Danio rerio: one gene and its partners. The protein of the gene in region 1 purifies or fractionates together with the protein of each later gene. This does not show direct contact. Links are inferred from orthologs where the notes say so. Each region holds a gene or a part of one and is shown in the gene's direction. Other genes may lie near its edges.

Region 1 (5,664 bases):
ATATAATATAATATAATATAATATAATATAATATAATATAATATAATAGGTTTTGCTCAAGCGTTAATAACAAAAACGAAGATTAAAGTTAAACAATATAGATAAATAAGCATTTTCACAACATTATAAGAATATATGAAGAGTTTAGATGTAAAAACTTCTAAGTGCCATGCATCTGAAATTTTTTTCTAAAACTTGCATTTTTCTCAGGCGTCCCATGTCTTGCTTCGGTACTTTTATTTGTATGGCAAAGAATAGGTAATTTTCATCAATTTTAACATGAAATAACTGAAATTGAACATAAGAGGCAGAGAAAAATGCTAATTGTAGAAGAAAATTTTAGATGGCACTTTTTAAAACATTTAAGATTTTAATGTTTCAGCTTTTTTAAAATTAAAATATTACAAATCATTTTAAGTTACTAGATTTTGACTGACAATTCATAAACACAAAATTCATAATTTTCATTGGCCTGCCACATATTGGATGTACTGAGGGTCCTTTAAATTGATAGGGTTGTAAATAAAGCTTAATAAAACAAATCAAATAAACTTAAGGCACTTTTCCCTCAACATACAGCATAAGGTCCAGAATAATGTCCAGATAAGCACCTGTCAGTCATAATAGCATTTATCTTTGTTATAAATGCTTATTATAACAACATCAATAATGAGCTGTTCAGATTTATGAAAAAATGATGATAAAAGTTATAAAATTTCTATGTAAACATAAGACTTTAATAAGAAATTTCTGAAAAACATCACACAGTTTACTAACATAGAACATCCCAAGTGTATCCAATCTCTAGCCGTGTTTATACTAGGTTCCTACTAGTATTCACAACAAATAAAATTAACCCCACCAGAAACATTGGTGTGTCGACACAAACTACTGTGTCGCTCCCACAAGTAACAAGCATAATCAAAACAACTGAGATTAAAGTGTCCAAAAAAAGTGATTTCTTCAACTAAAATTGCAGGTTCAGAGGACTAATCATCATACAAATGTTTTATATGAATTTTACAAAGTGACAACCTCTGTCATAACTCTAAAACCATGAACACATTTCATAATACACATTCAACTCACAGCAAAGATATCAGGTTCATTATAGAAAAAAGCAAAAATAGCCACACTCAAAATGACTGCCTGACAAAACAATAGAATTTATGAATTATTTATGTTTTATTCTATTATTTCATTCCTGCCCTTATGAAATTGAACCAAGGGAAGTGTGTGTGTGCGCGTGTTTTGACAGACATATTATTAGTGTAACTAACGTTACAGGTTTACCACAGATACTATGGTTAAATGGTGGTTAATGGTTGTTTGTTTGTTTGTCATCTTAGAAAATTTGATTTTTTTATTGAAAAAAATAAAAAAAGTTTTGAAGAATCACAAGAAGAAGAATAACGTTACTAGCAAATATCGATAAAGTTAAAACATCATGACATCTATTACGAAAATTAACCATGGTTTTACCACAAAAACTAACCATGGTAACCTCAAATCAACATGGTTTTGTTACACTAACCCCAGCTAAACTGTAGTACTTTCAGTAATACTGTGGTTATAAATAACAATCGATACGACAAAAAAAGTATGATTACACTTAACTCTTTAAACCATGGTTCATTCTCGTAATAGATGAATATAGCACATGATACTATTTTACCCTACATATGTTTAAAACGCTGCTTAAGGTGCAGATTTAGAACAGTCATTACATTTGCTTGTGTTATAGAAAAAATATATAACTGACTTTACCTGCTGTTGTGATTCTATGTGGTCGCGCACACCCGAAAAAAGACCTTCACGTTAGAATTTGAACCATGCGCGCTGCCATATTGCCTTGACTGTCACTACAGAGGGCTTGGAGGAAGAGGATAGACTGACACCACATGGACAGGAGAGGCACTACGCTTTTAGATACTGGAAAAATTGTACCCATCGTATTAATCCAAAAATCACATTAACTGATGCGTTAAATCTACATATGGTGCGTAAAATTATAGAGCAAATTATTTAAAGGTGTGTGAATAAACATAATACTGAAAAAAATTGTGTATGTTTTTCTTAAACACTAGATGGCGAAGTAACTCTTTTTATCAGCTATCGTAAAACCCCCATGTGACGCAATGATATGACGTCATTTCCCGTGCGCCTCAGACTGTGTGCTTGAGTAGTGTGCTGCTGACTGTCTGCATTTGTCATAAAATATCGTGATTTTTATTATTTAGCAATAATAATAAGTCAGACATTGGAATAGCAGGTGTGATGGCTGAAGCGATTCAGAAGAAATTGCAAGCTGAGTTGGAGAAATATCAACAACTCCAGAAAGGTAACTTACAGCACGAAAAGCTCAGAGTTAGCAATCCAACACTCCCTGCATGGGCATCTTTATATTGAGGCAAAGTTGGTTTTATATTCGCACATTCGTTCAGTGACAATGTGTGGCATGCTCCCTATATTGTTTACCATGGTACTTTGAATATTCGGTCTGAAATCACATGTAAATAAGACTACATTAACGTTATCACTATTTATTTGACTGAATAATGGTGTAATTTGATAGCCATCGTCTGCTAATATGGTTTCACTATTTAGGATTTGCTAACTACAGAATACTTTTCGGAATTTTTAATAGGAGAAAGTCTGAATGTGTAAATATAAAACCAACTTTACCTCATTGTGTAAATTGGCTTTCTCTCTAAAAATCTTATTAAAGTATTTTTGTCAATTCTAAATGGTAAAATCATATTAGCAGCCATTGACTATCAAAATCACCATGGTAAACAATGTAGGGATGTCACAAGTTTTCACTGAACGAATGTGCGAATATAAAACCAACTTTACCTCAATCATCTTTATGTTCGGCTCCTTTAATAATTTATATTTAACGTATTTGTAGTAATTTGTTGTATTCAGGTTTAATATCTATGTAGTGCAATGCACTGATAAAGTACAAATGTCACGGTTATGTTGTATTTGGACTTGATTTAGCTACCCAGAGCTATTTTAGACAAAATCCACATTCAATCTACAAATTCTCATTATTGAACGTTTTAAAAAGGCTTTTACTATTTTATTTTATTTTATGATTCATTGTGTAAGTTTCTTGGTATTTATAGTAACACCATTATGAATATTCATATAGCCAAGTTATACCAGTGTACACTTGCACATTTCCTGCAACATATCTTTGAATAAATAAAAAGTTTTAACTAAATTAGAATAAATATAATTAATTTGAGATTTTATAAATCATGATTGTTCAAAAAACATATACCAAATAATGCATATATATATGTATGTATGTATATATGTATGTATGTATGTGTGTGTATATATGTATGTGTGTGCTCCTTTAATAATTTATATTTAACGTATTTGTAGTAATTTGTTGTATTCAGGTTTAATATCTATGTAGTGCAATGCACTGATAAAGTACAAATGTCACGGTTATGTTGTATTTGGACTTGATTTAGCTACCCAGAGCTATTTTAGACAAAATCCACATTCAATCTACAAATTCTCATTATTGAACGTTTTAAAAAGGCTTTTACTATTTTATTTTATTTTATGATTCATTGTGTAAGTTTCTTGGTATTTATAGTAACACCATTATGAATATTCATATAGCCAAGTTATACCAGTGTACACTTGCACATTTCCTGCAACATATCTTTGAATAAATAAAAAGTTTTAACTAAATTAGAATAAATATAATTAATTTGAGATTTTATAAATCATGATTGTTCAAAAAACATATACCAAATAATGCATATATATATGTATGTATGTATATATGTATGTATGTATATATGTATGTATGTATGTGTGTGTGTATGTATATATATATATATATATATATATATATATATATATATATATATATATATATATATATATACATACATGCATGCATGCATGCATGCATGCATGCATACATACATACATACATATACATACATATACACACATTTCAAAACATGAATTCCCAGAGAAGCTACCAACCACAGAGTCATGGGAGCAGAAAAAATCAATCTGTAAATTTTTAAAAAATTAAATACATTTTAAATAAATAAATAAACATGTGTTATGGATGTGACGAAAAAAGTCTGCGAGTTTACAGTATACAACATACTTTGATGTTGATGTTGATGTTGTTTTTATTTAATTTAGTGATAATATATATATATATATATATATATATATATATATATATATATATATATATATATATATATATATATATTAAATATATATAAATAAAATAACATTAAATATAAACATTTCCCCGAGATGGGTTGCGGCTGGAAGGGCATCTGCTGCGTAAAAACTTGCTGGGTAAGTTGGCGGTTCATTCCGCTGTGGCGACCCTGGATGAATAAAGGGACTAAGCCCACAAGAAAATGAATGAAATAAAAACAATATCAACCTTTAAAACTTTCAGTAATGATAAATCATTCATCATTTTTTTCGGCTTAGTCCCTTTATTAATTTGGGGTTGCCATAGCGGAATGAACCGCTAACTTATCCAGCACGTTTTACACAGCGAATGCCCTTCTATCTGTAACCCATCACTAGTAAACTATACACAATCATTCACACACATACATTACAAACAATTTAGCTCACCCAGTTCACCTACTGACCCAGCCGAGGCTTGAATCAGCGACTTTCTTGCTGTGAGGCGACTGCGCTGCCCACTGCGCCACCATGCTGCCCAGTAATGATAATACTGTAGCTTATTATAAGCTTTAGATTTTAAATTAAAAATAGATTTTATTGATAATAGAAAATATGTAATTGCTTTGATTTTAATGTCTCATGATTGCTCAAATATTTTAAAATTAAAATATTTAATGAAAGGCAAAATTATAATATTACTACATATTATAAAACAGACCAGTGTATTGTACTTGTGTAAACTTTCACTTTAATGTGTTTGATTTCTTTTTAAAATAACAGACATATCATGTATTCATATTTTTCAGAAAACATTATCCAAAAAGTGTGAGATATAGTGTAAAAATGAAACATATTCTAATCTATCATGGTTTAGCTTTTAACATGAAGATATCTTTATATTGTATTAAAATATTAGAAGGGTATTTGTTGACATTTAATGGTTTGTGACACATGTAGTTATATTTCATAAAATGTTATAAATAAGTGTGATGTCTATTTTGAAACTCTAATAATGCTAAATATAATTTAAAAAATGTTTTGTTCCCTTCCATTACTAAAAACATAGCAATTTCTTATATACATGTTATTTTTAAATTATAAAAATATAGCTTTTTTAAAAACCTTTTTTAAATGTTATTATTCTGTAATGTCATCGTTTATATAAAATGTGTTGGCTGGCATAATTTCTTAGCACTGATTTCTGTAGAGTAGCGATTAGAGACTAAATTTAATGCCATTTTATTTCACAGATGTCAGTAAAAGTATGTCAGCAAGACAGAAACTGGAGGCACAGTTGACTGAAAATAACATTGTAAAGGAGGTAAGTTTAAGAGTGTTCTATATCTTTTATGGTACATTTCAGTTAGTATATGGTTAGATTTTAAAAAATGCTGGGTTCCACACAATTGCTTCATGTTGTCCCAAATCGAACGGATTAAGTTAACTTAAATGTTTTTACAAACTGAAGTG
Region 2 (5,647 bases), on another chromosome or scaffold:
TATATTTCCTATTTATTAACTATAATATTAACTCTAGTTATTTCTAGTTATTTTTTACAAATAAAGGAGTTAAAATTCTAAAACTTCTAAATGCCGTCTAAAATTTACTTCTAAACGGACTCTTGTGTGTGGGTTCAGTAATTTCACATGTATGTTGATGATTTCCATTGCATGTAAAGTGGAAAAACAGAAAATGAATATAGGAAGTGGAGAAAAATGCTTGTTTTTGAAAGACATTTGAGGTGTGATTTAGAGGTTTTTGCATCTGAACTCTCAAATATAAGTATGTATGCGTGTCTATGTGTTGTGTGTGTTTATATAGAGAGATTTAATTAGTTTTAAACATGTCTAAGTAGTTTTTGTTTACTTTTATAGTATAATATCTTGCTTTTATTAAAATAAATGAAAATTCCAAACATTTATATATACATTTTTAATAAATGTTTTTCAGGATAAAGAAAGCCAAAAGGTCATGTGACCCATGGATAGACAGCACTATACATCTCATCAAGGGCATGATTTCTGCATTATTCCTAGTGGTAATCATTATTTCTCCACAATCTTTGCACCTCTTCGTATTTGTTGTGCGCCCCTGATGTCCTGCAGTATTGGTGTCTGTCTAAACTGGCATGAAGGATGCTTTAAACACTGCCCCGTGTGCAGTACATGTACAGTACTGTCATGGAGATCATGCAGACAGGACTGAAAATGATGAATGTATCGCGACTTCAATCAAAGTTGCTTTTTTGTTCGTTGCTTATTTATTTATGTTGAAAAGCTGAGTTTCTGGTTTCTCCCATCAGTCTGAATCTGTAGTACTGTCAAAAACGCCACAAAGCACTTGTAATTATTTATTTATAATGTATTTGTTATTTATTTTGATACGTAACAATTGTGTGTACTGAATGCACTGCGAGTTTTGTAAATGTGTTTTTATTGTATAGATATTTATTATCGATGAATACAATCAATTAATGTTCTAATAGGACTGAAGTTGCATCGCAAACTTTACAATCGCATTCGGAGGACAGTACGGTTTGAATAATATTTTAGCTAAACTGTGAATTAAACATTTGCGAATGCAATCAAATAAATGTACTCTGCAGGAATGTCAGACGCAGGGCTTAAGCCTTTTTTATATGTATTACTGAGAAAGTGTAGCTTAAATTAAGTGAAATAAAATGGAATACGTTTATTAGTGTGTTTGTTTTATGCGTTTAGTATAAATTACATGATTTCATGTACTAATTTCAAGCAATGGTAACAAATTTCTGCTGTTTAATAAACTATTGTGACTTTCTAAGTGTCTCTTATTTTTGTTGAAAACCTGGGAAAGATTCATAAGTGGCACCGTATTTGTCACAACTAATTAATTCATTCATTTTACTTCGGCTTAGTCTCTTTATTTATCAGGGGTTTGCCCCAGTGGAATGAATCACTAACCAGCACATGTTTTACACAACAAATGCCCTAATAACTGCAACCCAGTACTGGACAAGATACATAAACACTCATTAAATTCACACACATACAGTACCAATTTAGTTTATTCAATTCACTGCATGTCTTTGAACTGTGGGGGAAACCGGCGCACCCTGAGGAAACCCACGCCAACATGGAGAGAACATGCAAACTCCAAAGAATTGCCCACTGACCCAGCTGGGACTCGAACCAGAGATCTTCTTGCTGTGAGAAGACAGTGCTATCCACTAAGCCACCGTGTCGTCCCACAACCAATAATAAAACTATTTTTATTATTTAGATTTACTATTTTTTATTTATAAAATTTTAGTGTGTCGGATATAAATCTGCAGATATACAGATGTATGTTGTAAAGTTTAAACACTCACTGTGTGAAGTTATAAAAATATTGTGTTGTCATTACTACATCTGATATACTTGTCTTTAGCTTGGAGATTTAAGTCTCAAGTTGGTTTACCATCATTTGTCTCCTGAGGAAACCAAACAGAGTGTTAACAGGAGTTAAAATGCAGAACATACACGACTTTACAATACAAAACAACACGTTAATAGTAATAAAAAAATCTTGAGCAATGTTGCCACTGGGGTGACACATTTTACATGTAGCACACAATAATAGACACTAAAAATAAGTCCGCTTAAAGTCCGCTTAAATTAAGAGTCAGCTTCTAAACATTTTGACGCTAACATTGGTATAACGCTGAAACCTTTATCATATACTGTCATTTCTGTTGCACTGTTTTGAGATTGAAAGTAGTCCACAAACTTACCGTGTCTGCAAAACTACCGAGCTGCCTTTTTAGTGAACATTTATTGTGGATTGCCTGCCTGTCTGACATTGAAAATGTTGTCTATGTAGGCCGCTCACTAGGTTTTGCAACAAGCTCTTTGTTTCGCGCATGCGCAGGGACTCGTACCACTTAGCATCATGGCGGCTCCCGTAGACCTCGAGTTGAAGAAGGTAAAGGGTGGTTTTTGGTTTTATATCTAAAAACCAAACAGAGTTGTTACTTTGTTATGATAAAATACTGAATAAATGTTATTAAGCTTTTGTGGAGCAGAAGTAAGGTATAAAACTGTTTAAGCAACGCGATCTGTCAGTGTGTAACGTAGGTGCATGCGAATCCTTTTAATGTGTATTGTTTGTTATAAAGATGTGCAACGTCATATTTATAGTTTACCACTGTAAATCCTTTAGAAATGAATATCCAAACACATATCAATCTATCAACACATCATTACATGCTATAGGAAGCTTTCAATATGGCTTATTCTTTAGTTTTTGCTTATCCATATATATATATATATATATATATATATATATATATATATATATATATATGACATAATTTGTTGAAATATAACTGTTACAGCTATAGGAAATGCTGGATTTGCTGTATTACATATGAATTTGATAAAAAATTTATTATTGTGCTGTCAAAAAGAGCTGTCAAATGTTTAATCATAATTAGTCACATGCAAAATAATATTTTTTATTTACAAAATATTTAGTGATGTCTATATTTATGTATATTTTATATATATTTATAGATTATATGTTGTGACTTTCTAAGTGTCTTATTTTTGTTCTAGAATTTATGTTGAAAACCTGGGAAAGATTTATTAGTGGCACCAAATTTGTCACAACTAATTCATTCATTCATTCATTTTACTTCGGCTTCTCTTTATTCATCAGGGGTCGCCACAGTGGAACGAATCGCCAACTTATCCAGCACATGTTTTACATAACGAATGCCCTACCAACTGCAACAACATATAACAACATATAAATTGTTTAAATATAACAGTTACAGCTATAGGAAATGCTGAATTTGCTGTATTACATATGAATGTGAAAAAAATGTTATTATTGTGCTGTCAAAAAGAGCTGTCAAATGTTTAATCGTAATTAGTAACATACAAAATAATATTTTTTATTATATCTATAGATGATTTATTATTATAAAAATACAGTTATATTTATGTATAATTAGTATTATATGCAAACATTAATGATAGATAATTATAAATAAACATTTTTTTTTAAATGAATGTGTATTAATATATTAATATATACATAAGATATTTTATTTGCATTCATTTTGCAATGCAATAATCACAATTACTCATTTGATGACACATACAAATTATAAATATAAAGCTTTTATAAATAGAAACAAAATCTGTGTTATTTCCAGGATATCTGTGGGGTCTTAAAAAGTCTTAAAATGTCTTAAATCTCAAAAACAAAATTTTAGGCCTTAAAAAGTATTAGATTTACTAAAATATTGTGTTGTAGGTCTTAAATATTTTTTAGCAGGTCTTAATTTTCCTATGTTCATGAATAACTACCCAATCTGGCCATTAACACTCAACAATCACCAACAATCCCAATCTCAATAAAACTTTTAACGTTTTATTTAAAAATAGCATTTAATTACTTTTCTCACAGTAACATTTGTTAAAAAGTACTCCACTTTATATACCGCTGTGGTTGCTGACCTGACCTACATTTTGTATTATTAAAATATTATTATTGTAGACGGAAGTAATTGACAGCTATGCTTTGTTCTATTCTTGGTAAGGGTTATAGGAAGGCCCACACGGAATCTGCGCATGCAAATTTCCGCAGACTTTTAGCCCATCATTGAGTCTATTTATTTACTTGTATAAATGTGTATAAAATTATATTTATTCAGTTTTAAATTGTTTTCAATAATATTATTGTGATATAACAATAGTAATATTAAAATGTTCATATGATGTATTTACAATTCAGTTTTTAGAGTAATATTTTCTGTCTTTTAGTGGATGTATTATGAGAAACTTGCTTTGTTTACTAAATACGTGGATCTAGTTGGATTTGCATTGTAAACATAAGAGCTAAAAAGCTGTTGCTTTTATTTCATGTATTAAGTTTTTAGTTATGACGCTATAACCATAATCATTCCACAAAAATCAGCTGTTTTATTTTTTTATTTTTTTATTTTACAAATTTCTCAGCAGAAATAGCAAAAATGTCAGCAGATTCTGTCTGGCCCTGATTATTGGGTTTGTAGATGAATATTTTTGAAAATTTATAAAAAAAATATTGAAACATAATATTTCCTGTATTCAATGTTAATATTTTTTTTATCTAGCAAGTGAAAATCTTTTCTAACTTGGATATAAAAAATCCTCAGCATTAAGTTCTGTATAAGTCTAAAATTGCATTCATAATGGTCTTAAAAATGTCTTAAAATGTCCTAAATTTAATTTTGTGAAACCTGCAGAACCCTGTATTTCATTCAGAAAACAAAAATCAATGTCATTTCCGCCAAATTTAGATTTTTTTTTAACTCATCAGAAGCGACGTGTTTTCTAAAACAGAATATAAACATGTATGCACGTTTTTTGCTATTTTATGCAAATTCAGGGAAAAAAATGAATAAAATTTTATTGTAAATTTACAGTTGAAGTCAGAATTATTAGCCCCCCTGTTAATTTTTTCCCCCAATTAAGCATAAAAGTTTTAATAGATCATTTCTAATAACGGATTTATTTTATCTCTGCCATGATGACAGTAAATAATATATTACTAGATATTTTTTAAGACACTACTATACAGCTTAAAGTGACATTTAAAATTTAAAAACTGCTTTTATTCTAGCCGAAATAAAACAAATAACACTTTTTCCAGAAGATAAAAATATTATCAAAGATGCTGTAAAAATGTTCTTGCTCTGTTAAACATCATTTGGAAAATATTTAAAAAAGAAAAAAAATCAAAGGGGGGCTAATAATTCTGACTTCAACTTTGTATTTGCATCATATCACAGCGGATTTCCTTCTAATCAAAACCTCAATCTCGGCATCTTTGCAGGCTTTTGCAGAGCTGCAGGCGAAAATGGTTGACACTCAGCAGAAGGTGAAGCTGGCAGACCTGCAGATCGAACAGCTGAGTCGTGTAAAGAAGCACGCAAATCTCACGCATGGAGAGATTACATCACTTCCTGAAAGCACTCGGATGTTTGAGGGAGCAGGACGGATGTATGTATAATTCTGGAGGTTTCAAATCTGGACCCTTTACTCTCTGTTGTTTTGACCTTCTCTTCCTTCCTTTATTCAGGTTTATTTTGCAGTCAAAAGGTGAGATCTCTAATCAGCTTTTGGAAAAGCAGAAGAC
Region 3 (4,660 bases), on another chromosome or scaffold:
TGAAAACATGATTGGCAGAATCGTAGGATTAAGATCGTCTAGGGCAGTGGTTCTCAAACTGTGGTACGCGTACCACTAGTGGTACGCGGGCTTCCTCCTAGTGGTACGCGGAGGAATCGCTGAATAATGAAAGAAACAATTAACACTTTTAATCCTCAAATGTGTAATATAACATCGATGTGATCAGCATTGGCTGTTTTGTGAAGTGTACGATCACAGCGCTGTGCTTAGAGTGTTTATTTTAGTGCATTGTGTCATAAGCTGCTATAAATCAGTTTCCGAAGTTTAAGAATAGATTCTGAAGCGTGATTTGACTGACATGAAAAGTAGCCAATCACAGTCGACCTTGTCTAGTTGCGTGAAACGTAAGGGCGGGACAAATGCTTTCTGTGTTGCAGAGACAGAAAAAACTACTTAAAAACAAATGTTTTGTTGGAATAATGCTTCTCGGATGTTTTCACTATAGATATGTCTAGCAGAGTAATTAAACCGCGGACATATTTCCTGCCTTTTTGATGATCAACAAACACGTTTCGCTCTCCGACAGCCAGTCGACTCGCCTCTGACCTGTCACTCCTCTAAATACATTCTGAATGGCGGCGCGGGAATGGAGGTATTGCGCAATTACTTATTTCTGCAAACGTGGCGAGTGCTTTATTTTAACACGAGAGCCCATTCATGTACGCAAATCACTAAAACAGATATGCGAGCTCTTAAATAGGCTTTTTTTCAAATGAACTGCAAGTCCTCTCATGATCGCCTGTGTGCTCAGATTGAATACAATCGCGATCTTTCCACTATTAAAGTAGACATTATTTATCTTTGCTCCTTGACTAAATTTAGTCAAAAGTATTTAAAGTTATGAAGTATTTAGAAATAGATTGATGCATGATCGATAACAATGCTAATGGTCTTCTTATTTGGCTGTGTTGTCAAGTGAAACTTTAGCAAAGGTGGAGCTTTTTTGTTTCTTTACGACAAAAGAATTATGCTGGAAATGTTTCTGGATGAGGTATATGTGTGATTTATACATTTAGCTGTATTCTGATCTGTCCTAAAGCATTACAGATCAAAGCAATCCATTGTTACTTATTGTTTATTTATCAAAATTTACAATAAGACTCTTAAAGCACTGCTTTGATAAATGTATTGTTGTCACATTTCAAATACCTCAAGTAAAATAAAGTCATTTGTTTTATTTTTTACTGACAGTGTACTTGTATTTTTTTTACGTTTCTATTTTAGATTAAGATCAAGTGTAAAATAAAATCTACATGTGATGTACAGCTATTGAAGAAACAAATTTGCCATATTGTAAAGAAAAATAGTGTAAAATATGTAAATAAAAGGCTAAATAAAAATCTTTTTACCATATACTTTAACCTTTCAAAGCTTAAAAATATATTTTTTAAAAAATGGGCAAAAAGTGTCTCTATGGCCTTAAAGATTATTTGGTAGTTTTACCAGTGCTATTGAAAAAGATTAATTGTCATGAAAGGAAAAATCGACCATACTTCCTTTGTTAGTGCATATTCCTATACACGTAGCTTTGGGATTTAAGCAATCAAACCATTAAATCAGGTTTACACTTAAAAAAAGTGATTTCATAATGAAAATCTGATTTTTTATTCAAAAGTAACCAACTAGTACTTTTTAAAAGAGTACTTTGTACTTTTACCAAATATTAGCATTATTTACTAAAAATGTTGTTATTTTAGCAGTGCAATAGTATTTTTACTTGAGTACAAAAAAGATTTCACAAGCATTTAGTGCAGGTTTATTATATTATTAATATATGATTAATAAATATTATTTTTAATGTTTTTTATTTGTATCTATTCCTATGCAATATTTTATGGGTTGCATACAGAATACATTTCAGGTCTTCAATACATAGCATGTCAGTCTTGAAAAAAAAGAAGGTTCTGGAATTCATTTTCATTAGGCTGTGCCTGTATGAACCCTGTCATATACATTTAACATATATTTCAAGATTTGTCTGAAAGTGTAGCAATATGACATATAGCCTATATTTATAAGGTCCAAGCAGCATTTCCAGCTTTTGATGAATAGGCTACTATGAATACTTCAGATTTAAGTACAGCAGTTTTCTTTTTACTTTTTAAGAACAGCGCCATTTTTTAATGAATTTTTAAAAGCACATTTTAACTAAAACTTTTTTTTTATCTGCAAGCACAGTTAATGTTCAGACTATTTAAAATGTTTAAAGTGACTGACAATAATACATATTCTTAATAATAGGAAGTAATCTGCATCGTTTTTAAACTGTGCACACCTGTAGCTGCTTAATTAGGCCTACGACGCTATTTTTTAATACTGGTTAAAAAAATAGCGTCGTAAGGTGGTACTTGGAGAGACGATTTTTTTCTAAGGTGGTACTTGGTGAAAAAAGTTTGAGAACCACTGGTCTAGGGGGTCGAATCTTTTTTCACAATCTTTTTTCGATTAATTGTGCAGCTCTAGGCTGTAACATAAAAAATGTGGAAAAAGTGAAGCGCTATGAATACTTTCCGGATAAGTAAATAAACAAGTTTCCAGATAAATGGCCTCTACTTGTCTTTGCTTTGCAGAAACAATTCTTTTTTCAATTTATACTAGCCCAATGTCTGCTTTGAACCCTGTTTGCTGATCTCCTGTTATCCACAGGAAGCTCTGCAGGAAGAGATCAAGGCTCTGGAAGGTCGCGTCTCATCCATACAGGGGGTCCTGGGAGATTTAAAGGTTCAATTATACGCCAAGTTTGGAAACAACATCAACTTAGAGGCGGACGAGAGCTGAAACCTTTAGCTGGTGGACTTGACCTCATAGACTGTCCATCTCTAACAGGACAGGACATTTCTACAAATCTTGTCCGGTTTACTCCAGTGATGTCTGTTCAGTTTCACATCTTGTTACGTTTAATCAAGTTCTTGAGGTGTTGCATCCAGGTGGTTTTTGGGGGACGAATGAAATGTCCAGAATGAGAGAATTGAAAGGCACTGATGTCAAAATAAAAAAAAGAAGAAACATTTTTTTTTATGAGTTCCTTCAATTTGGGTTCAGTATTGAGGTGAATGTTTCTTGTTGGCACAGTTATAGTGTTTTGAGCAAATAGCAAAGGATGCATGCAGTGCTTAATTTGTAAATGAACAATTTCCAGAACAATACCAGGATATAAAAGTTACTGTGACCGGCACCCACCACAATTTCAGGTTTCCAGGAACATGACATCACTAAACGGTGATAGCACCAATGGTGATCAGTTTACTAATACCACTGACTTTCATTTCACTTCACTATTATGTGACAAGTGGAAAAAAAAATTAAAATACTCACCGTCTAATCTTCAAGAACAGCCCACGGTTACCTCTTCCATCCTGTTTTTTGCCTGACTTGATTGCTTTGCTTCTGTCTCCCGCTATCCTGATCCAGGGATGCAGTTCCATCTTCCAGAGATCTTTTTTTAATCAGGCTCATTATTAGATTTACTGTTTTAAAAACATACTTCCTCTTTGCCATTTTGAAAATACAAATATAATTTAGGTAGGCCACTATCCCATTATTTATTTTTAAAACAGTAATCATCAACCAATGAGAGTGACTGTAAATGCAAGAAAGCTGACTGGTCAAAAATATTGTTGAGGGCCAATAGTAAAACATGCCTTCTGCTTTAACTTTGGCTTGGTGACGACCTTTATGTGTGTGGGTGTACACAATCCACACAGCGTTGCTTTGTGTTTTTCACTGGCACTCATTCACAATCTCTCACACACACAGATGCAGGTATTCACTAAGCACATGTTAATGCCGGATGACTCAAAATATTACTGGAAGGGAATTTTCCGGAACAGGATCCGGCTCAAATTAAGCACTGGTTGCAGGTTCTAATCCTACTTGATTTAGCTAATAAAGCAAATAAATAAATAAAGTTAAAAAGACCTCATAAAATAAATGTCTAAGAATTTATTTTTTAAGTTTACATTTTCAGAGGTGGCGATTAATCCTTTAATTTACTATTGTAAACAATGAGGGGTGTAAACAAAAACAATGGTCCCAATGTATTTCCTGTTTTACATTTTTCATTTCTAAAGCTTCTGATAATCCAAAAAGAGACACATATTAATAAATAATATTATGATAGCTGTTTTAACATTATGGTATGATTGAGTTGCCTTACTTTACAGTTCTGAAATAGTTTGATAACAAGCCGGAAATGTTCATGGGCCAATGACATCGCCACATTAATATGAGAAGGGATAGTTCACATCAAAATTAAAATGACCTTATCAATCAGTCTCTTATCTGTTCAAAACTAAATTTTTTTTTTTTGTTGAACACTAAAGAAGATATTTTGAAGAATGCTGATTGCTGGCATCCACCGACTTCCATAGAAGTAAAACTAATTATTATGGAAGTCAGTGGGTGCCAGCTATCAGCATTCATCAAATTGTCTTCTTTAGTGTTTAACAGAAAAAAGAAAGTCAAACATGCTTCAAACAAGTGAAGGTTGAATAAATGATGCGAGAATTAAAAAATTGAGTGAACTGTCTCTTTAAGTTGACTAAAAGGCACAGTAAATGCATTAAAACTATTGGAAATCTATTTAACAAGCTGTTTTTTATTTTTTATTTGCATGTTGTGATATGTAAGACTGGAGGAA
Region 4 (5,578 bases), on another chromosome or scaffold:
TAAAAGTAATCATATTATTATTACTATTATTATTATTAATGTAGAGCTTCACAATTTCTTCAAAAATCTTCTCTTGTAAAAGGTACATTCGAAAATTTATGAATAACAACATAAGCCAAAATAGTATTCAAATCAATTTCAATATGTTTAGCTTTTGTTTCTTCACACATTTTATTGCTAATTTTTGTTTCAAGAATAAGATCCAAGATTTAGAATAAAAAAATGTTCTCCATTTAAAAACAAATGCAGTAGTGAAAGATGACTTCTCTTACAGCAGATTGTAAAATGAACATTTTTGTTAGCGTTGACCAAAACGGATTACACACCGAATTGGCAACAGAGCCAACAGAGGATTCCGTTTGGTCTTAAGTTTTTTTTATATGGGTTATTTTCACTATTTATGATGACATAGCAGTCAAAATAGGACAACCGAGCTCATGTATGGGGTCAATACTAGACCTCTGTCAGAGAGGGGTGGGTCTTCTGAACCACCTGCACCCCCCATGGCTACAGGCCTGACATAGTTTGCCACTTTACCTTATTCTGTTATCCGAAGAGGAAAAATGAAAAAACATATGCTGAATAGGTTGGCGGTTCATTCCACTGTGGCGACCCCTAATTAATAAAAGGACTAAGCCAAAAATGAACGAATGAACATTGGAGTATTCTTTTGACTTGTTTTTTAAAAAAATAACACACACACACACACACACACATAAACACAAACCAAAGTATATGCTGCACATTTCAGTATTCACATATTTTGTTTTACTGTAAGAAACTGAAAATTACCAATAAAAATATGAATTATTATCTTTTTAAAATAAGCTGGTTTCACCCTCTATTCTAAAGAGGGTGGAATGTGCTTCTGTTTAATTAATCTGCATGTATTTTGGCTAGTTTCCACATTCTTTAATGCAATTTACCCTAAATATACTGCATTTTTGACTTAGGCTCATTCATTCACTGACTAATTTTCTTAGCTTAGTCCTTAAATCCATCAGTGGTCACCACAGCAGAATGAACAGCCAACTTATCCAGCATATAATTCACACAGCGGATGCCCTTCCAGCTGCAACCCAGTAGGCAACTGGGAAACATCCATACACATTCATTCACACACATACACTACGGCCAATTTAGTTTATTCAATTCACTTAGCACATGTCTTTGGACTGTTTGGGGGAAACCGGAGCACCCGGAGGAAACCCACACAAACACAGGCAGAACATGCAAACTCCACACAGAAATCCCAGCCGGAATTTCGAACCAGTGACCTTCTTGCTCTTAGACAACAGTGCTAACCACTGAGCCACCGTGTCGCCCTTGCCTTAATCTGTTTTATATTTGTTTCTCTTCTGCTTTTATTTACAATCATTTTTAAATATGAATTATAATGTGACACTGTATGTGTGATATAAGTGCATATATAGGCCTATTTAATAAAACACATCTAATAAGGTGCTATTCTTGCCCTGCTACTTACTTTCACCTAAAGATCCACATGCAGACAAAGAAAGCCTGTACTGAAGCTGACAGTAACATTAGTAAGCAGAACAGACAGACTCAATAATAATATTATGAAAAATCAAACTGAAGACTAAGAGCCAATGTATTTATCTGTTTTTTCATATCACCGCAAATGTATTGGATCAAACCTCTGGCTTGCCACCAACTGCTGTCGTCACGGCCAGCGCCTCGTGCTATTTCTCATGTCAATCAGGCAACACTGACATCTGCCGGTCGGTTTGATAAATGTCGGATATTATTAAAAAACATACGTTAACAAAGACAGATGGACTACATTTGAATTTAAATATGATATAAAAAGAAATTAATGACAAAATGGCCAGATGAAATCATCACCTGCTCATTGTTATAAGAAGAAGAAAGTCACTTTTATTATGCACGCGGCGCCCGTGCGTAAGAACAGCGTGCGCGTGCGTCAAAGAGGAAGAGTCGTAAGTCTCTCCAAAATGGCGACGACCATAGAAAGTGGCAATGCAGGAGCTGCAAATAAGAAAAAACACCTCGGAATCCCTGAAGCAATATTTGTGGTCAGTGCGAAAGGGATATATAGTTAATTTTCATGTCCATGCTGTCGACATGTTTCTGTCTGTGTTGGTTTGTTCGTCTTTAAACGGCTTTAAGTAAGAAAGCGCCTTGTTCTTCTCCTTATAAGGGTGCAGGGATTGCTTGCTCATGTCTTGAATGTGAGCTTTGAGTGACAGAGAACATGTGAATAACTGGCTCTCAAAAACCGCTTTGTTAATTATAAGCCTTAATTAACCAGATGTGAAACACATTGTGTGTTCTGTAGGAAGATGTGGACGCCTTCATGAAGCAGCCGGGCAATGACACAGCAGACGCCGTGCTGAGGAAGCTGGATGAACAATATCAGAAATATAAATACATGGAGCTCAATCTGGGGCAGAAGAAACTCAGGTTTGGTTTTGATCTGTTCTACGTTGTGCTGTAAAAAGAAGTCAATCTTTCAGTCACAAATTACAATAAGATTTCATTGGGTAATGTATTTACTGACACAACCAATGATTAACAACACTTGCACAGCATTTATTGATCATAGTTCTACATAAATGTACTAATGCATCAATAACATCCAAATTTATGCTTAATATTAGTTAATGTATCGTGAGTTAACATGAACTAACAATGAACAACTGTATTTTCATGAACTACTGTTAACGAACATCTAATACTGTCATAAATGTATGTTTCATTGTTTGTTTATGTTAGTATATGCATTAACTAATAAAACCTTACTGTAAAGTGCTCTGGATAGCATGCGTATATGTGGCTACAAGTTGTTTTTGCAGACTATAATTGTTGACATTTTTTCCCTCTGTTTCAGGTTGAAAAGCCAAATTCCACAAATCAAACAGACATTAGAAATCCTACGGCACATGCAGAAAAAGAAGGTAAGCTCATTTCTTAATTAATGGTGATTTAAAAAGAAAATTTGTCTCAAAATTGCTTCACAGAAACAAATCAAAGTTCAGTCTAAAATTACTTAAAATGATTTCTCAAAGTTATTTACTGCTTTTAGGATTTCTTTCATGTACTCCTTGTGAGAAGTATATATATATATATATATATATATATATATATATATATATATATTTATATATATACTTTTTTTAATAAATGTATATAAATATTTTTTTTGTAGTGTGTTGCAGAAGAGCAGTCACATATTAGATCACGTGTCATAATTGTGTCTTTAACATACACATAAATGTGTCTATTCATCATAAACTGGCCTGTCAATCAGCCTGTCATTTAAAGTCAGTCTTTTTCTCTATACATGTTATAGATCTTTTTGTGCTCTTTTGCTTCTAGGGCTGTGTAATTGAGGGGAAAAATGAACATTTCAATATTTTATTTTTCATCTTTGTAAACAAATGATCTTAATACAATAAATCATATAAGCATAATTAAGGTGATTTTGTTTTTTAATATTATAATATTAACAGAGGTTTTTTAATATTATAATCAAAAACAAATTATTACAATACAGTAAGATAGTTATGAAATTCGCCCTAAAATTACATTTTAAATGATAAATTTTTGAGATGCAGCAAGTGTATTGTTCTGCTTCACCAGAATTCCTCTTTATTTATTTTTATTTATGCATATCAAATCAAAGGACACCACAGATCCCATGGAGACACATTTTCTGTTGGCTGATAACGTCTACTGCAAGGCCTCTGTTCCACCTACAGATAAAGTGTGCTTGTGGCTTGGGGTAAGTGTTGAATGTTGAGTCCTGATGCATTTGATGTGAGCATGAAATCAAAATAATTATTATCTATCAAGATAATTATCTTTTAATTTAATGGTTTATTATAAGACCAAGTGTGGTACTGATTTTTGTTTTTTTACTACCCTGTGTCACTGCATTACATTATGAGCTGTGAAATCCTTGTTGTGTTGACTAAAACAACTGCTTTAAAAAGCATGTGTGAAAGTGTTGACGATCATTGCCTTTGTTTTGCTCTTTTGTACTGCTTATGAACTCATGAAACCTCTTCATCACTTGTAGCGTACCGGGTTCCCACATGTCTTAAAATTACTAGAATTTTATAATGTTTATTCCAGATATTGTCAGTAGGGATGTAACGATATTAAAACCGACCCGAAATATCACAATACACCAACCACGATACGTATCTTGAAACTCGTGGCATACCGCGATATTCTTATGCCCCCTGCTGCCCATTGTTGAGGTTGACATCACTTGTCTCTAACTAATTGAACCAATTTAAACATATTTATCACATTTGATTAAATTGTTTTAGTAATGATGAGCTTTTGTTTTAAATATTATATTCTTAAGTTAGTATTTTCCAAGTGCATGTCATGTGATGTGACTTAAGAAAGCATCACACTCAGTTACTACTGTATGCAGGATGGCTGCTTCACACAGTACTGAGATTCCAGATCCCCCAGACACATTTAAGTCATCTGTGTGGGAACATTTTGGTTTTCCAGTGGAGTACTGGAATGGAATTTGTGTCGTAGACAAAGCACACGTCTATCTATCGTAACTGTTTCACAACTTACACAAAACCTCACAATGTGAGGGTGTAAGCAACAGAACTGCCAACTAAAGTGATTTAATCTACAAAAGTGAAACCAGAAAAATGCCCAAATATATACAAAAAAGAGAAATATTTACACTAATAAAAATAATATAATAAAGTAGCAAATTCAAACAAAGGATCAAACAAAAATGAGTTAAACTTGAGTAAGGGGACAATTGTGAAGCCAAGCAAAAGAAAGAAATATAACAAAACAATTTTAACTCATGAATAACCGCTCTTAACTTGCTAAAACTGATGAAAAGATAAAAAGGTCTTCAGCGCAGTGCGCCGCAGTCTTCCCTATACTGTACTGTAAAATAAAATAAATACAAAGATGATCTTTACCTCTTACCTGATGTCTTTAACAATACATTTTCAACGTGTTTGCAAAATGGAAATCGTATGACATCTTCCCTATCCACCTTACTCTGAGAAAAGAGTGAACTTGAGTAGGTAAACCTCAGTATTGTTGGGAAGGAGCCAAGGCAAAAAATAACATACAAATCAATTGAAATAAAAATATAAAAACCTCACAAAATTTCTCAACGTGGGCAAAAGTAATGCAAAATAATTTTGCCCAAACGAAAGTTAAGCAAAAACAACAAAAATCATAATCGTGTCAGAAAATGCACGAAAAACGAGATCAAAGGAAAAAGCGCTTTCTCTCCCGCTCTTCCCGACATGCTTTTTATATTCCCGCGCTTTGTCGCCAAATGATGATAGATCGGTCTCCTGACCAATCAGCTGTCATAAAGGCGGACCTACAGAAATAACCAGCATGGAGGGAGCAGGAGAGAGAAAACGGGAGGCAAAAATACAGCCGACTACAACTCTAACATTAGTTTCAGACACAACTGCAATGTATTTTACTGGTGAATATATCATGTAAAAACACTTTACAAACACATTTTATGTATATATTTTTTCATTAATTTAAACGGAAAGCTATCTATCTAACTGAAACCTTAGATAAT

The links.
Region 2: the proteins of pfdn6 (region 1) and pfdn1 purify together in Homo sapiens (affinity purification with mass spectrometry; 6 studies listed by BioGRID and IntAct, with this or other methods). This does not show direct contact. The link is inferred for Danio rerio from reciprocal best matches to the Homo sapiens genes PFDN6 and PFDN1.
Region 3: the proteins of pfdn6 (region 1) and pfdn4 purify together in Homo sapiens (affinity purification with mass spectrometry; 6 studies listed by BioGRID and IntAct, counting the BioPlex papers as one, with this or other methods). This does not show direct contact. The link is inferred for Danio rerio from reciprocal best matches to the Homo sapiens genes PFDN6 and PFDN4.
Region 4: the proteins of pfdn6 (region 1) and vbp1 purify together in Homo sapiens (affinity purification with mass spectrometry; 6 studies listed by BioGRID and IntAct, counting the BioPlex papers as one, with this or other methods). This does not show direct contact. The link is inferred for Danio rerio from reciprocal best matches to the Homo sapiens genes PFDN6 and VBP1.

What each region holds. Positions count from the first base shown.
Region 1 is NC_133189.1:35,059,633-35,065,296, reverse strand, and holds the start of pfdn6 (prefoldin subunit 6), read left to right. Parts: upstream 1-2,241; 5' UTR 2,242-2,277; coding exon 2,278-2,341; intron 2,342-5,444; coding exon 5,445-5,515; intron 5,516-5,664. UniProt on the Homo sapiens protein: Binds specifically to cytosolic chaperonin (c-CPN) and transfers target proteins to it. Binds to nascent polypeptide chain and promotes folding in an environment in which there are many competing pathways for nonnative proteins.
Region 2 is NC_133196.1:32,811,394-32,817,040, reverse strand, and holds the start of pfdn1 (prefoldin subunit 1), read left to right. Parts: upstream 1-2,397; 5' UTR 2,398-2,410; coding exon 2,411-2,443; intron 2,444-5,344; coding exon 5,345-5,511; intron 5,512-5,590; coding exon 5,591-5,647. UniProt on the Homo sapiens protein: Binds specifically to cytosolic chaperonin (c-CPN) and transfers target proteins to it. Binds to nascent polypeptide chain and promotes folding in an environment in which there are many competing pathways for nonnative proteins.
Region 3 is NC_133198.1:41,415,933-41,420,592, reverse strand, and holds the end of pfdn4 (prefoldin subunit 4), read left to right. Parts: exon of another isoform or gene 1-43; intron 44-2,433; exon of another isoform or gene 2,434-2,667; coding exon 2,668-2,799; 3' UTR 2,800-3,355; downstream 3,356-4,660. UniProt on the Homo sapiens protein: Binds specifically to cytosolic chaperonin (c-CPN) and transfers target proteins to it. Binds to nascent polypeptide chain and promotes folding in an environment in which there are many competing pathways for nonnative proteins.
Region 4 is NC_133182.1:23,875,208-23,880,785, reverse strand, and holds the start of vbp1 (prefoldin subunit 3), read left to right. Parts: upstream 1-1,952; 5' UTR 1,953-1,976; coding exon 1,977-2,057; intron 2,058-2,320; coding exon 2,321-2,445; intron 2,446-2,872; coding exon 2,873-2,939; intron 2,940-3,667; coding exon 3,668-3,766; intron 3,767-5,578. UniProt on the Homo sapiens protein: Binds specifically to cytosolic chaperonin (c-CPN) and transfers target proteins to it. Binds to nascent polypeptide chain and promotes folding in an environment in which there are many competing pathways for nonnative proteins.